Linked DNA regions of Mus musculus: region 2 is reported to be linked to region 1. Evidence: microRNA targets listed by miRTarBase, many of them from high-throughput screens and not tested one by one. Region 1 holds a microRNA gene; the other region holds the end of a gene's coding sequence.
The links. Region 1 holds the annotated microRNA mmu-miR-494-3p (UGAAACAUACACGGGAAACCUC, at 3,045-3,066, shown strand). A microRNA usually pairs through its seed, bases 2 to 8, with sites in the 3' UTR of a target mRNA and lowers its output. Matches are read on the target gene's strand: a 7mer-m8 pairs with bases 2 to 8, a 7mer-A1 pairs with bases 2 to 7 and ends in A, and an 8mer does both.

Region 1 (7,465 bases):
TGGAATCAGCCAGCGTTACCTCAAGGTATTTGAAGATGCGGTTGACCATGGTGTGTACGCTTTATTTATGACGTAGGACACATGGTCTACTTCTTCTCAATATCACATCTCGCCTTGGAAGACTTCCAGGAGGTGACATCTGCTTTGAGGAAGAGCCAGTGTCCCGGTCTTCCTACTGCTGCTGCTTGGTACTTGGAGAGAGGTGGTCCGTGGCGCGTTCGCTTCATTTATGGCGCACATTACACGGTCGACCTCTTTGCGGTATCTAATCCCGCCTTGCGAGCTTTCCTGGAGCTAACACCAGCTGTGGGGTGGGGACACTAAATGTGTGTGCTAGCGCAACCCAGCCAGCGGGTTTGTCTTTTCTTGTGTCTGACAATAACTCTTGTGTGGCAGCCTTCTTCTCAGCAAATTTCTCTGGCTTGGCAGCTTCGTGGGCAGGGTGACTTGCAGACCAGGAAAGTGGCATCGACATGTGATACACGTGTGGGTGCGTGAGGTGGTTGACCAGAGAGCACACGCTATATTTGTGCCGTTTGTGACCTGGTCCACTAACCCTCAGTATCTAACCTTCCCTTGGAGAACTTCCTGGAAGAGATCTCAACTTTTGGGGACAGAGGCAATAAGCCAGCTGTACGCTGTTAGACTTGGAGACAGCATCCTCAGTACTTGCAACATATGTGCCTGTTATGGTAGTATTGGATGGGCTTCCAATGCTGTCCTATACTTGGATCCCTTCCTTGATATGGGGCCATCCAAGTTCAAGAAACGTACCATGTTGTCAGACATGACCAGGGTGTGTGTATGCCATTTATATATGGCACAGGTCGCAGGTCACCTTAGCACACTTGCATGCTAAATCTGTGGGAGGAATCATCTTTGGTTTGGGGGCATCTGTGCCTTTCTGTGGTTACCCAAAATGGTGGTAAGTCCTATAGCCAGTCTCTACTGCGCCACTGCTCTCTGGTTGTGACATAACTTCAGGATCATGCCATGGAGGTCTGCTGTACTGGGGCATGTGATGGGATGGCTGTCAGATATATATCAACTAATGGCTTGCTTGAGCACTTTGACTAACATCCAGTGTGCAACCCTGCATTCAACAGGCCTGCCAGGTCTGAAGGTCACGTTGGGGAATTACCGAGGTAGTCTTGTCAGTGTTCGCTTCTGGTACCGGAAGAGAGGTTTTCTGGGTCTCTGTTTCTTTGATGAGAATGAAACACACCCAGCTAACCTTTTTTTCAGTATCAAATCCCATCTTGGAGGCTTCGTGGTCCAGATCCCAGTCTCAGGGAAGGATGGTCCTGTCAGCATCCAGCCAGGGGACAGGAATAACTGGTTCTCCACAAAGCCAGCGAGTGGATTATCGTTCTGAATGGTGTCCTTTGTCCTCTAAACCCTCCCAGGCCTGCCAGGTCTGAAGGTCCAGTTTGGGAAGGTGTCATTGTTATTGTTAACTGAGGATGTGGAAGAGGGGTTTCTGTGTTTGAAACACATTTGGTCAACCTCTCTTCCCATCAGAACAAACTATGGAGGCCTTCTGGTCCATACCTCAGCCTCAGCTGAGGACACACTAATAGTTATGAACAAGTGAGTGACGGACAAAACCCATCCCATACATCAGATTTCTGTTGCCTGTGCTTCTAACCTTCAGTATCTTGTCCATTCTCAGGAGGACTTCTCAACCAATATGGTGTTCCAAAGTTGGGGAAGATGGCAGCCACCGAGGCAACTCTACCCCAGGTCATCACAGGTAGGTTGCACCCACTTTGCTTCTAACAGGTTAGACACAGCCACCCCCACACATGTCCAGCATGCTTTGGAGGCACGGTGATGGGCTTTTAATCAGCCAACCCCTGCTATAGGACTGTCTATTGTAGAGAACACCCACTGTGTCAGATGGTACCTAGATCCATGCTATTCACACACACCCACATCCTTGTAATAAGAGACTTGGAATCAGCAGTGTTCTAGCAGTAGGAAAGCAAACCTGAAATTGGCACACACATTTGCCCAGTGAGCTTTAAGATATGAAATCTGGAGCGGGGCAGTGGTGGCGCACGCCTTTAATCCCAGCACTTGGGAGGCAGAGGCAGGTGGATTTCTGAGTTCGAGGCCAGCTTGGTCTACAGAATGAGTTCCAGGACAGCCAGGGCTATACAGAGAAACCCTGTCTCGAAAAAAACCAAACCAACCAACCAACCAAACAAACAAACAAATAAACAAAAGATGTGAAATCTGTTCTTAGTCCTTAACTCCACCCAGGGTTGTGGTCAGCAGTAGAGCTTTCTGTGGGGTTCCAGGTAGAACACAATTCTCATCTGCAAATCATGAGCCCTTTTCATAGGCATTTCATATCAGATATCTACATTATGATTTATAACAGTAGCAAAATCACAGTTATGAAGTAACATTGAAAATAATTTTACAGTTGGGGATTACCCAACATGAGGAAGTATATTAAAGGGTCACAGCACTAGGAAGGTTGAGAACCACTCGACCAGGGGGTGGAACTGCCTGCCCCTGCCTGCTGCTTCTTTATACTACCACATGTGCTGGCACACATTTACCTTCCTACTAACTTTATAATGTGTCTGCTTTTAGAATCTTACCTTCCCTGGAAACTACCCAGACTCACAACCAGAGGGCTGGGTCGCTTCTCATCACCCACCTACCTCTTGGAACCAGAATCCGAGGCTCATTCCTGAACACCCCCAATGTACTGTACTTGTTGAAGTTGAGAGCTACTATTCCCCTGTTATCTCCTGAGGCACAATTTCTGGGGTCCCTGGTTCCCTTCAGTGACCCCCCCTAAACCTGGAGAGATAAGGAATGCAGGTGGTCTGTGTTGTTGGTAAATAGTCTCAGGCAATTCTGTGGACTGTCAAATTGCACAGGGGTTTTGGTTGCTCTCCAGGGCCCACAGAAGCAGACACTTCTGACAAGGCACCTGGCACTTTCCAGCTGCCTTTGTTTGCTTTCTGACCAGTGCTAATTGATACTTGAAGGAGAGGTTGTCCGTGTTGTCTTCTCTTTATTTATGATGAAACATACACGGGAAACCTCTTTTTTAGTATCAAATCCCACCCTGGGGGCACTCCCTGTCCCTGATGACGCCTTCAGGGAAGGGACCTGGACTGCTGTTCCCTGGACTCTGGGACATGGGACATGGGAGTATGGCATCAGGACTCAGCCCTGGAAGGAAAGTCATTTGAAGAAGGGACAGGGTCCCCGTGGTGGCCTGAGGCTACTCCCTATGGCTTTGGACTGTGAGGTGACTCTTGGTGTGTGATGGCTTTTCAGCAAGGTCCTCCTCACAGTAGCTATAAGGACGTGCCAGCATCGTGACTGAAGGGACAATGATGCCCACTGTTCTCGGGGTAGCTGTGTGGATGGTAGACCGGTGACGTACACTTCATTTATGCTGTAGGTCACCCGTTTTACTATCCACCAACACCCAGACCATCTGTGGGAAGACACCTTGGTGCACACGGCAGCTATGAAGAAGATGTTGGTGGGGTTGAGGCCAGCGTGAAACTAAAATATTTCAAGCAGAGTTAGCTTTTAAGGGGGATCCTTTTTCTGCTTGTGTGTGTACATATATGTGTTCAAGAGAGAGAGTGTGTGTGTGTGTGTGTGTGTGTGTGTTGGGGGGGGGCTACCATGGGCGTGACTTTCATTTTATGATCCTGTATCTTTGCAGTAAACAACGCCATCCTGGAGGATCCCCTGAATGTGAAGCTATATCCCAAGCTGGGGCACATTTCTCCTGGTGGGTGAGTGACAGGTCTCTCTAGCCCAGCATCAAGCCCACATCTGTCACTTATGGCATAGGCTTCGTTGTTCTTGCTCATCTCCATGTCTGTTCAATTTTGCTTGTCTTCTGAGGATTCAAATCATTGGCTGCTTCCCAGCACAAGTACCTGACTAGGAGATGTATTTCAGATATGACATCTCCTTAGGGAAGGACACCAGAGTCCTCATCAATGGAAAAGGTATGTCATGGTGTTCTGTCTGAAAGAATATATTATATTTTCATGTGTGTCCTTCTTTACTAATGCTGAGTATGCCTTCCATACCTAGGACGACCTCCTGATGTATTGCTACCCTGGGGGTGAAGGTGGCTTCCTTGCCCCTCCTCCAGGCTCCTGGCAAGTGGTTCTTGCAGCCATGGCAGAGACATAGAAAGTAAGTAGGAACTCTCCGACTGAGATTAGGAACTACTGTGATTCTGCTCATGTTTCATTGGTCAAGCCAATGAAGGGTGGGGAGGTGCCCTGTAGCCATGTCATGAGGGAGAGAACATGTGTACAAGCATAGGCAACCAACTATCTACCTGGAACACCTAAGAAGTCTATCTTTATTCATGTTCTTTTTTTTTTTTAATCTCAATGTTCCATTTCCCAGCAAGTGGAGGGTCAACAGAATCTGTTCTCAGAACACCACATGCCACTTACATATATTTTTGTCCAGGAGACATTGTCTCGTTCTGACAAAGGCTCAGATATCTTTTTGTTTCCCATTTCATGATAACCTCCTTGCATCAGGGCCTCCACCGTGGAACATAGGTTGATGTCCTCCCCTCTAGCAGATGGGTGGTGACCTCGACTGAGAGGTCACGGGACCCACCTCCTCTCTTGTCACGGATCCAGAGCTGGACTTTGGGAAGCAAAGTCAGGATTATTATATCATTCTCTGATGTTTGAGGAGACTCCAAAGACCTCCCCAAAGGATGACCAATCCAAAGCCTGTCTACAAGATCCTGATTCTGCCTGCGTGGAGCGGGCACAGCTGTGAGAGCCCCCTAGGTACAGCGGGGCTGCAGCGTGATCGCCTGCTCACGCACAGGAAGTGACGACAGCGGTACTCAAGCCACAGGAAGTGACGACAGCGGTACACAAGTGGTACACAGGGTTCCATGCTGCTGACGTACGGTGCTTAATGAGAAGTTGCCCGCGTGTTTTTCGCTTTATATGTGACGAAACATTCGCGGTGCACTTCTTTTTCAGCATCCTATTCTACGTTGAAGACTTCGGGGGTTCAACTACTTACTGACTTCAGGGAAGCCATGTTAGTCTAGGAAAGTAGTCTATGTAGTGAGCCTGGGTTGTGTGAGTTTATCTCCCTTCTTGAATGGTCCTCTGACCTTTCTTAATGAGAATGGGTTTGGGTTGGTTGGCTCCTGCTCCCTCCTCCCTCCTCCACAACACAGTGTCAAAGGAACCAGTTGACCAGACATTATTGATTCCTAGATGAGACCTTAGCCCACAGGGAGATGTTTGCTGAGACTTCTGGGAGGGGAATGAGTCTTCATTTCTGTGAGAGATGTCTGAGTGGATCTCACTGTTCCCTGAGTTTGAAGGCCAGCTAGAATTCAAGAGGACAGTACCCAGGGCTGTTTAGACAGAGGGGGAAGTGCCTGTCCCAGAGGAACCATGGGACATTTGAGTAACAGTACAATCTGGGACCTGCATCCGACACTCCTTGAAGCTCAACACGTCACTGTACCTTTAAGTTATATTAGCCTGGATGCCTCCTTTGTGTGTAAGTCAGCTTGAGGTGGGCCTTTCCTTACTATGAGAGGAATGGATGGCTCCTTGTTGAGTGGCCTGTCAATGAGTGTAACTGGCATTCTTTGGATGGTATGTTCTCTTGCTCATTATTCCCATTGTCCAGTCTAAGGTAGGTAGTTGGTACCAAGTCACTTTCCTTTGTGGTTCAGATATATTGCTGTAGTGTTGTAACCTTCCAGTAACGGTAACACACACTAATCAATGCGTTTTGTTTTCAGGGAAGGGTCGGTCATATGTCCCGTTCAGGACAGCCGCAAGATGATGAACGGACATTGCATCCCCAGACATCTCACACGCTCAGAATCCTGGAGCCTCCCATTTCAACCTGTTCTTCTGCTTCCCAGTACCCTGTGAGCTCTTTGTTGTATTTGTCTACATCGTAAGTCACTTCTGGGTGCGGGAGAGGGGGGACCTCAGAGGGCATCATCCAGGCACTCACACAGCTGGTTTAGGCTGCCCTGGATTTTGCCACCTAGTTCTTTGACTTTTTTTTTTTTTCTCAGCTTCAGAAGAGGATCCTGGAACTGAGAGAGGAGATTCTGTCTTGGAGTTTGGCACCATCCCATTTCCCCCGAGTGACACTTCAGAATGACTGGCAAGGATGGTAGGCAACATCTCAGAATCTTCAGTCTTCGTCCCAGGTCTTCCTGAGATCCTGAGGTAGAGGGGGTTTGGGCTGGATTGCTATGGCAGTGATGAGTACTGAGCCACTCCCCTTGCCTCAGGACCCCCATCCCTGTCCCCCTCCCGGCCAAGTATCTGCCTCACCCACCATCCCTTCCTTCCGCCTGTCCCTCAGCATCCCTTCACACTCAGGCACACTGCTGGAACAAGCAAGAGCTCAGCCGTGGTACCTGAAAAGAAGTTGCCCATGTTATTTTTCGCTTTTATTTGTGACGAAACAAACATGGTGCACTTCTTTTTCGATATCAAATCTCACCTTGGAGAGCTCCCCATGGACCAGAGGGAGGACGGGAGGCCAGGGGGTTTGGGTCACCATGTGCACAGGGGCATTTACCTCAAAGAAGCACAATTTCACCTGCCCCTCTTGGCTCTGTGCATTGTTAGGTCCAGAATGCCCACCTCCTGGGACAGGCACAGTCAGTAAGGGAAACCAGGAAGCGCACTTTTAGGCTCTGTTGTAGGATGGAGTTCAGATAAGAGAAGCCCAGAAAATTATAAAATCCAAACAATAGCAATTTAATCAAACAGCCAATACAAGCCAAACCACCAATTCCTTCTGGAGACATGTGTCTAGATGTCAGCTGCAGGTGTCTTTACCAAGATATGTCAGTTGGTGAGTGTCACATAACACTATGACTCTAGAAAAGCCTGGGCCCCAGATCAGCTCTTTACCAGCATCCTGCCATGTCTACGGGCTGTGCTCTTTGATGCCATTAGCAAGGCCTTGAGGACTGGTGGGTGCTGGCTACGATTGGGACCAGGGAACAGCAAGCTGTCATCAGCCACTGCTGCCTGTCTCTTATCTCTGATACTGGTACCCCTGCCCTCTGGAGTGGTAGATGTAAGGCGGCACTTCAGACCCCTTTTCCCTAGTGAACTTCTCTTTATGGCTAACATTCTCTGGTAGCCTCCTCATGGCATCAAAATTGCCTTTGAGTGTGGTTGTTTGAGCAGGGCCCTTTGGTGGCTCTCTTGTGAGAGTGGGAGGGAGGATACAATCCAGAGAGTATGAGAACACCTCATCCATCCATCTCCCCTGGAGGGTTTCCGAAGCTGAGCCAGTACAAGATATGGGATCACTCTTAGGCAACCCTTTGCTAGGATACTAGCTATTTCTTTCTTTGCTCAAGTTGGAATAAAAGCTTTGTTTATACTTACGTGGCTCAACAACCATAGCGCATCAAAACCCAGTGCAAACTCCATCTAAG
Region 2 (8,174 bases), not on the chromosome of region 1:
AGTACAGTTATCTCCAGCTTTTCTCCCTCTAGCTAAAAACTTGTTGCTTTCCAAGTTACTAACCAAACAGCCTCCCACGTCCTGACAGAACCCCCACCTCTAGCAGTCCGCTGCTGTACTTCTCTCACTGCCTGTCATCTGCCATGAAACCAACACCAAATGTTTTCAGTGTAGTAACAGGTGAATGATGCTCCAGGATACAGATCTGGAAAATAAAGGCCCTCATCTCAGTTAGTTTGCCTTGATGCAGAGCTGTAGTGTCTCCTTTGAGCCAAGCATCTACCATCTTAGGGCATTCAGCTGTGCCCTCTTGCAAAGCATCATCCCAGCTAAACTTGTTGACAGCTTACACCCCAGCATAGATGGATGGAGCAAAGCCTGAGATTCTCACCTGAGTATCCCTAACATCTGTTGTATGCAGCTCTGCCTTAACTGCATGTTACCTAGTGGAGGGGCGAGCAGTTGACCTATCTATCTATCTATCTATCTATCTATCTATCTATCTATCTATCTATCTCTGTGTTATATATATTATATATAATCTATCTACCTGGTTTGTGTATTATTTTTTACCCTCTGTTTCAAAATTCTTTTTCTTTTATTATTGGGTATTTTCTTTATTTACATTTCAAATGTTATTTATTCCCTTTCCTGTTTTCCTCCTCTCCTGGAAACCACCTATTCTGTCTCCCCCCACCCCCCACCACTACTTTATGAGGGTGTTCCTCTAAGAAGAACAGAAGCACCCACACGTTGATCTTCCTTTCTTGAGCTTCATGTGGTCTGTGAATGGTATCTTGGGTATTCCAAGCTTCTGGGCTAATATCCACTTATCAGTGAGTGCATACCATGTGTGTTCTTTTGTGATTGGGTTACCTCACTCAGAATATTTTCTAGTTCCATCCATTTGCCTAAGAATTTCATGAATCCACTGTTTTTAATAGCTGAGTAGTTTGTGTATTATATATTATATATACCCTATTTCTGTGTGTTTTATATATCATATATAATCTATCTGTGTATTATATATTATATATATAATATATAATTTATGTGTATATTATATAATCTATTTTTCTAATTTATGTGTATATTATATATAATCTATTTTTCTGTCTATCTCTTTGCATGCCAGGGAAAAATGGAATGGGAGCACCATCAATGTGGGTCTGGGGAAGCCCTCATCCCTGCTGGGTAAGGCTTTTTCAGGGTGTGGATTGTTAGGGGGAGGAGTATCCACACTTCTCTAAGTAACCCCTCATGTATGTTCTGCACGGAAGCCCAATAAACTCACTGGTTTTCTAGTGAACTTTGGTGGAATTGTGCCTTGGTTTCTTGCTGGGACCCTTGAAGGGGCAGACATTGCTTACATTTCTCTCTGGGAAGGAATTTTAGCAACAGAAACCCAGAATAGTTCTTCTTGATCAGGTAGTTTTTGTGAAAGTGGTGGCTCAGGGACCCATGTTCCTTCCAACACTTTAGCCTGTGAACTCCAGGGAAGGCCCCAGATGAAAATATTTTCTGTGCAAAAGTTTGGTGTTATCACTTTTCCAACATTTCATCAGCCATGGCCCAGTGTGGACCCAACCTAACTTTCAGAGCCTGGGCAATGTGGAATTCTAGGTCTTACAAGGTAAGGGAGAATTGACTCGCAAGAGTTGTGCTGACCTCCACTGTGTGCTGTTGCACATGTGTTCACACACACACCCCGTATAGACTGGAGATGACTCATTAGGTAAAGGTTTATGCTGCCAAGATTGAAGTCCTGAGTTTGTTCTTCAGGCCACTTCCATTAAGGTGTTGTTTGCCTTCCACATGCATGCTGTGTCATATATGTACCCACATATGTAGACACAAACATTAAAAGAAGTCCTTAAATTCCTCACTAAACTTCCTAAACTCTGCTTCATAAACTGAAACTCTTTTCAGTGTGGAAGCCAAGAGTCTTGAGTTGCAGTCTACTCTAGGGGATTCCTCAGCTGCCAAGGTGAGAATGCACTGCTGTGCCTGTCTCCTCACTGCTAAAATAAGGACTAAAATGTAAATATAAAATAAAACAAAATTAGCATTGAACATTCAGAACGAAACGCACGCACATTTTTACCAGATCTACTTTTATTTCAGAAGGAACTTTGTATTATAGTATTTACTTTTATTTATATACAAGTGCTTCACATCTGCATTTAAAATGCAGACCCCCTTAATTCTCTTGTTCCTGATGAAATTAGCTGTTATTTTACAATACAAAAAATACCAAAAAATTGCAGTCCTAAATGTATGTATAACCCAACAATCGCAGCAATTAAATAGTTTACAATACTTACTCCATATTTACACAAGTGCGACAGATGCTAAATCACACATAGTAACAAACTAAGCTTGGATCAAAACAAAACAACAAACTGTAAAGAACCAGAAAAGATTTCCAGAGGCAGAATTAGTTCAGCAGGCTTCACTAGTGTTTTGTGCACAGTCAGGCTCTGAGAGCAGCTTCTGTTATTGCCTTTAGTTTCTCCCTGTACTCTGGAGGGCACCCTGAGGGCTCCCTGCAGGCAGGATGTGGAGCTCCAGAGCCTCTGCTCTGCTGGAGGCCAGGCTGATGTCTCATTCCAAAGCTGTGCTGGGAGGTTGTGACAGGGTCAGCATTTCAGATTCCTTCAGGGAGCCAAGGCCACCCTAGGAAGAACCTTCTGGCTTCTTGGTTCTGCTTCCAGGAAGCTATCCTAGGATGACAGCTGTCTAAAGAGCTGGGTTTCCACCTCAGTCACTGCCCTAATGTTAGCTTAGAAGTGTTTAGTAAATATTTGTTGAACAGATCAATTAAAGGACACCAAGGATCAGAGGTTTTCATAAAAACAGCACCATCCCCCAAGGAGGTGACTCATTTCCTTGCCATGCACACTCTGCTGTGTAGAAAGAGGGCGGGCGCTGGCAGGCTGCAGAGTCACCTACCAGAGGCGCTCTGCTTTTCTTCATCCAATTCCCCAACGAGATCCCATCTTACACTTCAAGCTTTCCAGATATTCTGGTATTTTCCTTTTGCTGACAGTCTTCTTCCAGGTCAGGTCAACGGGGCAATGGGTTGCTTTCGTGTCTGTCAAACTCTGTGGACCTTTCAGAGCCCTCTCCAGACTGTGTAGGGAAGACCAGGACGGGGACAGGAGGCTGAGGTGTGGGAAAATAGTGCTATTTATCAACAAATGAGCCCTCCCATCCCCAGATTTTAGTATAAAAAGAACATGGTTCTCAGAAACGTCATTAAAATTTTAGACAAAGCCACAACAGTGCAGCTTAGAGAGCCCCTTTGCAAAGTCTGACGTTCATGGGTGACAGTCTTTGAATGTGAAGAGTAACAGAACACCTCACCCCACAGAGATGCCAGAAATCACAAGGAGCATTTGAAATTACAACAGTGATGAACACTCTTGCTTCCTGAGTTTCTCTAGTATACTGCCATGTAAATAGATAGACTGCCTGGCTCTTCATAGGTTCGTTTGTTTTGAGACAGGCTCTTGCTATGTAGCCCAGGCTATTCTTGAGTTACTTTTGTTTTGTGTGTATTGGGTGTTTGTCTGTGCACCAGGTGGACCACCACAGGCACCCGAGGAGGCCAGAGGAGGGTGTCAGGTTATCTGGAACTGTAGTCACAGAAGGTTGTGAGCCACCATGTGGGTACTGGGAACTGAACTAGTGTCCTGACCAAGAGCAGCCAGTGCTTTTAACCACTGAGCCATCTCTCCAGCCCCATTTTTGAATTTTCTTCCTGCCTCTGTCTTCTGAATGCTTAGATCACAGCCGTGTGTCACCCTGCTTGCTGTCTTCCTAGGTATTCTAAGAGCTGAATCATTGTTCAGTTACCTAATGGGCACAAGGCTACAGAACACACCAGCATGGTGTATAGTGCCTTATCAACAGATCAGGGCCTGGTAGGATAACTTCCCAGAGCTTGGATACCCAGTATATGGCACAGAAACAGATTAGGTGAAACTCAGATGTTAGTGTTTAATAAAAATACATTATGATACTCTTCTGTTTATGTACACCCTGAATGTCTGAACATTCTGGACACTACAGTATAGTTATGTACAAGTGCAAGAGGTCAGTGTCGTCATGACTATTTTATATACATGGTCTCTCGTGACACAGTTACTGGGTCACAACTCCATTCCATCTTGGTAACTGGCTCTGAGCTGAGCTCTTAATCCCTGCCATTCCCCCTGCTCTAAGCCTGAAGGGAGCTGTTGGCTGTAAGGGATGCAGGGGAGCTGGCTGTTTCTCCATTACAGGAGCAGAAATGAACGCTGTTTGCTTCTTTTGAAAGAATAAACAGTTTCCCTGGGGGCAGGGAGAGCATAAACAGGTAGGTGGGAGCCATGGTACATATTACTTCAGGGTATGGGACTAACATAGAAGCAACTTCTTTGGCCAAAGAAATTTGGTCCTTTGAGCAAAGCAGAGGGGAATTCCTTATGGACGGACAAGCCCTAGTGCAACTTCCCTTTCTTTCTTTTGGCCAAGAGTCCCCTGGCTTGTTACGGAGATGAAAGGCTAGACCACGCAGATACTTATGTGCTGGGTTTTGGTAGAGATGTGGGGAGCTCCTAACTGTATAGGGGATGAGGCTGGGATCATTTCTAGAACTTTCTGCTCTTTAATAGTGATGCAAAGAGTCGTGTTTTGAGAGGTGAGCCTTCTAGCAGTGTTTTGTGCATCAGTGATTTATGGTTCAGCTTGGAACTGTCACTCCACAAGAGTCTTGGGAGGAGTGGGTTAGTGCAGGGCTTAGAGAAAGGCTCCCTCTTCAACACTGCATTTAAAGGTGAAACACTACAGTTTTTGTTCTTCTGATTGTTAACTTCTCCAAACTCATACATTTGAGCACTGTTGCCTAGAGGGCTATTCTAGTCAGGTGATAGCAGAACTGTAGGACATGAAGAAGGAGAGGACAGGTGTGTGAGGCTGCTGCATAATGCCAGAATACGGAGCACCATAAATGGGGAAATGCAATGTCCAGGCAGGGTCCTGGGCACATAGCAGAGGGCTGCTCACCCTCCTAACGTGGTAATCTTGTCCCTTCCCATCAACCCATGTGCTTTTCATTCTCATTAGCATTCCCCACCTCCTCACAGCCACCAGCTGGGTCTGGGAGGAGGCTGGACCAACTCCTGCCCAGGGGAGATGGAACCAGGTCCCTTTCCATGTGCTGAGCAGATGCTGCCCCAATGCTAGGCATCATCCCTCTTCTAGTGTGTACTCCATTCAGCCTGGGGATGACCCACAGGTTCCCACAGGTCAGTGCGAGCAGCTGTAGGAAGACAGAGCCAGGTGTCCCAGTTGTCAGTGCTCTTTTCTGCTCAAGAGGCACAGGGCATGAGCAAGTGCATTCTGTGGTGCCTTGGCAAGAGCCGAGGGTTGCTCAAACGTCAGGCCTAAAGTGACACTAGGCTGGGCTGGGGTCACTCAGTCCCTATTAGATGTTGCTTGGGGTGAGAATTACTCGTTCTTGGCTGCAAATTAGACTTTAAAAAAAGAACAAACTGCAATGGTAGTTACTTAAAGTTTACAAGAATGTAGGAATGCAATCATGTAAAAACTTAGGCTTACTAATGTCCAATTGCTAGATCTATTCAAAGTCTAGGCACTTAGTGTGTGTGTATGTGTGCATGTGTGTAAGACAGAGTGAGAGAAAGAGAAGGAAAGAATGGATTAAAATTAATCAAGTTTCTATAGAGAATTATCAATTGCATTTTTTTATATATATTCTAACTCCATTGACCTTGACATTTAGAATAGCCCTCTTTGCTGGGCCTGGTGGTTCATGCTTTTTATCCCAGCATTTGTGAGGCAGAGGCAGGTGGATCTTTGTGAGTTCAGTCCAGCCTGATCTACATAGTGAGTTCCAGGCCAGCTAGGACTACACAGTGAGACCCTGTCTCCAAAAACCAAAACAAAACAAAACAAGGCCCCCATCAATTATACTTTGATATGACTTCCAAAGAGAAAGACCATTATTAATTCTCAGCTAGAAAAAAAGCTACTTCCTGGAAGAGAGTAAAAGCTCATCTTGTAAAAAGACAGCAAGCTTCCGATGAGAACAGTTCATCTGAGGAGTGTCAGAGGACCATGCTGGAGAGCTGCTGACAGAGGGCAGCTCCTCTGCAGTTGAGATTCCCAAGAGAGGCTTCCACAAGGGACCTCAGCATCACCTTCAGCTCTCACGGGGTCGGCACTGGTCTCCTCCACCCATGAGTAGAGCAGACCATTCCTGGACTTGTAATTAAATTATTTCCTACACAGAAGTAAAAGGTTAGATGCTGGACACAGAGGGGTGAGCCATGAAAACAGCTTGCATGATCATGCACATGAGTTGGACGCTTCAAGGGTCCCCAGTCTTCTGCCCCACGCCTGCTTCCTGCCTGCAGCCTCCCCTGTAGACAGCTTCGTGGACCACACGCCCTCTGTGAGGGCGAATTCCTGCCCCAGTATCAAATGCAGGTTCCAGGCTGTGCAGGCGGCTGCTGCTTCCGGTTTCTTACAGCTCCTGACTTCTCCTTGTACACTATTGGCATCTGCTGAGAAATGTCCACCAGGGCACTGGCCACAGCGAGACCTTGGAAGAACCCACAAGAGGGGACATGTGTCATGAAGCAGCTTACTTTTTTACAAAATAATTTCAGATTTCTTTTTACATTTCCCTAGTGAAAGATAAAGGGGTGATGGTGTTAGCTTATTTATACACACCTAACTACTCATTTCTCTCTCCTCCATAGCAGATCACAAAGTCGTGTGCTCTGCCTCAGGGTGGCAAGTGAATGAGAGTGCAGCTATGCTCTGAGCGTGTGCCTACTCCTGCCTGTTTCCAGAAGATAGCAATGAAAGTATCACTACTTCACAGTGAGATGTGCGAGCTACTAAAACTTTGTGTGTATGTGCTTCCTCAAAAAGAGAAAGTACAGGAAGCTTGGCATGGATAACCCTGCTGTGGGGTGGGTCTCCAGAAAGGAGCAGGGTTTCATGAGGATTTCCAAAGAAGCATTGGGTCAAGGGTCAGGAAGGAAAAGCTGCTATATCTCCATGTAAGACCTGCTCCATCTCTGTGTCTTCTAAAGATCTTGCCCTTTTGAAGCAGGAGATGCTGTCCAGAGTGCCCAGAGAGTCACTCTGTCCAAGTAAGGCTAACTCAGAGACTCAGTGCTGGGGGGATGCCAAGTAAGATGAAGACAATGGGTCCTGACTCATCATACATAAATAAGGCTTCCCTTCAGGACTGGACACGGATAAAGGAGACTTTCCTACTAAACTCCAGGTTATTTTGGCTGAGACACCACCAAGTCCCTCAGACCACTGCATCTGAGTATAGTCCTGAGCAGAACACTGTGTGAGGCATTCCTATGCACAGCTTCAGAATCAAGGTATGTCTTTTCATACTGCCTTTGTGTTTAAAGAGAGAACTTTTTCTTTGCAACAGGGTCCCACTATATAGCCCTGGCTAGTCTAGACTTCACTCTGTAGCAATCTTCCTTCTGTGCCTCCAGCTTTAACACAAGGTTTATATAAATTATGACTTACATGTTTGATGGACATGTATAAAAGAATTGGCAAACTATGTAGTAAGTTATAAAAATACTAATGGATGTTATAAAAAATAAATAGTAGATCTATATTTGATCCTTAGCAATACCCAAAAAGAAAAAAAAATTCAAAACTATAAAAAAAGTATATAGTAGGGGCTGCAGAGACGGCTCAGCAGTTATGAGCACTGGCTGTTCTTCCAGAGGACCTGGGTTCAATTCCCAGCACCCACAAGGTAACTCAAATTCCAAGGAATCTGATCCTCTCTCAGAGACATACATGCAGGCAGATTACCAATGCACATAAAAATAAAAGCAAATAAGTCATTTAAAAGAGTATATAGTAGGGGCTGGAGAGATGGCTCACCAGTTAAGAGCACTGACTGCTCTTCCAAAGGTCCTGAGTTCAAATCCCAGCAACTACGTGGTGGCTCACAACCATCCGTAATGAGATCTGATGCCCTCTGCTGGGTTGTCTGAAGACAGCTACAGTGTACTTATTAATAATAGTAAATAAATTTTAAAATAAATAAAATCTAAAAAATGATTAAAAAAAAAGAGTATATAGTAAAAATATTTTCTTCCTATTCCTGCCCTAAAACA

Region 2: miRTarBase lists Atrn as a target of mmu-miR-494-3p. Seed matches in the 3' UTR shown: 7mer-A1 at 4,821-4,827.

Annotation. Positions count from the first base shown.
Region 1 is chr12:109,712,323-109,719,787 of GRCm38, forward strand. Mir494 (microRNA 494) reads left to right here and starts at 2,996; the gene lies at 2,996-3,080. Mir1197 (microRNA 1197) reads left to right here; the gene lies at 1-114. Mir323 (microRNA 323) reads left to right here and starts at 186; the gene lies at 186-271. It overlaps Mir758 (microRNA 758), which reads left to right and starts at 488; the gene lies at 488-568. It also overlaps Mir329, Mir679, Mir1193, Mir666, Mir543 and Mir495.
Region 2 is chr2:131,024,253-131,032,426 of GRCm38, reverse strand. It overlaps Atrn (attractin), which reads right to left. Exons shown (of 29, transcript NM_009730.3): 29 at 2,098-6,610. The coding sequence ends at 6,486. It overlaps Gm30286 (a long non-coding RNA gene), which reads left to right and starts at 6,776. Exons shown (of 3, transcript XR_374979.4): 1 at 6,776-7,412. Gm39937 (a long non-coding RNA gene) reads right to left here and starts at 585. Exons shown (of 2, transcript XR_866742.3): 1 at 98-585.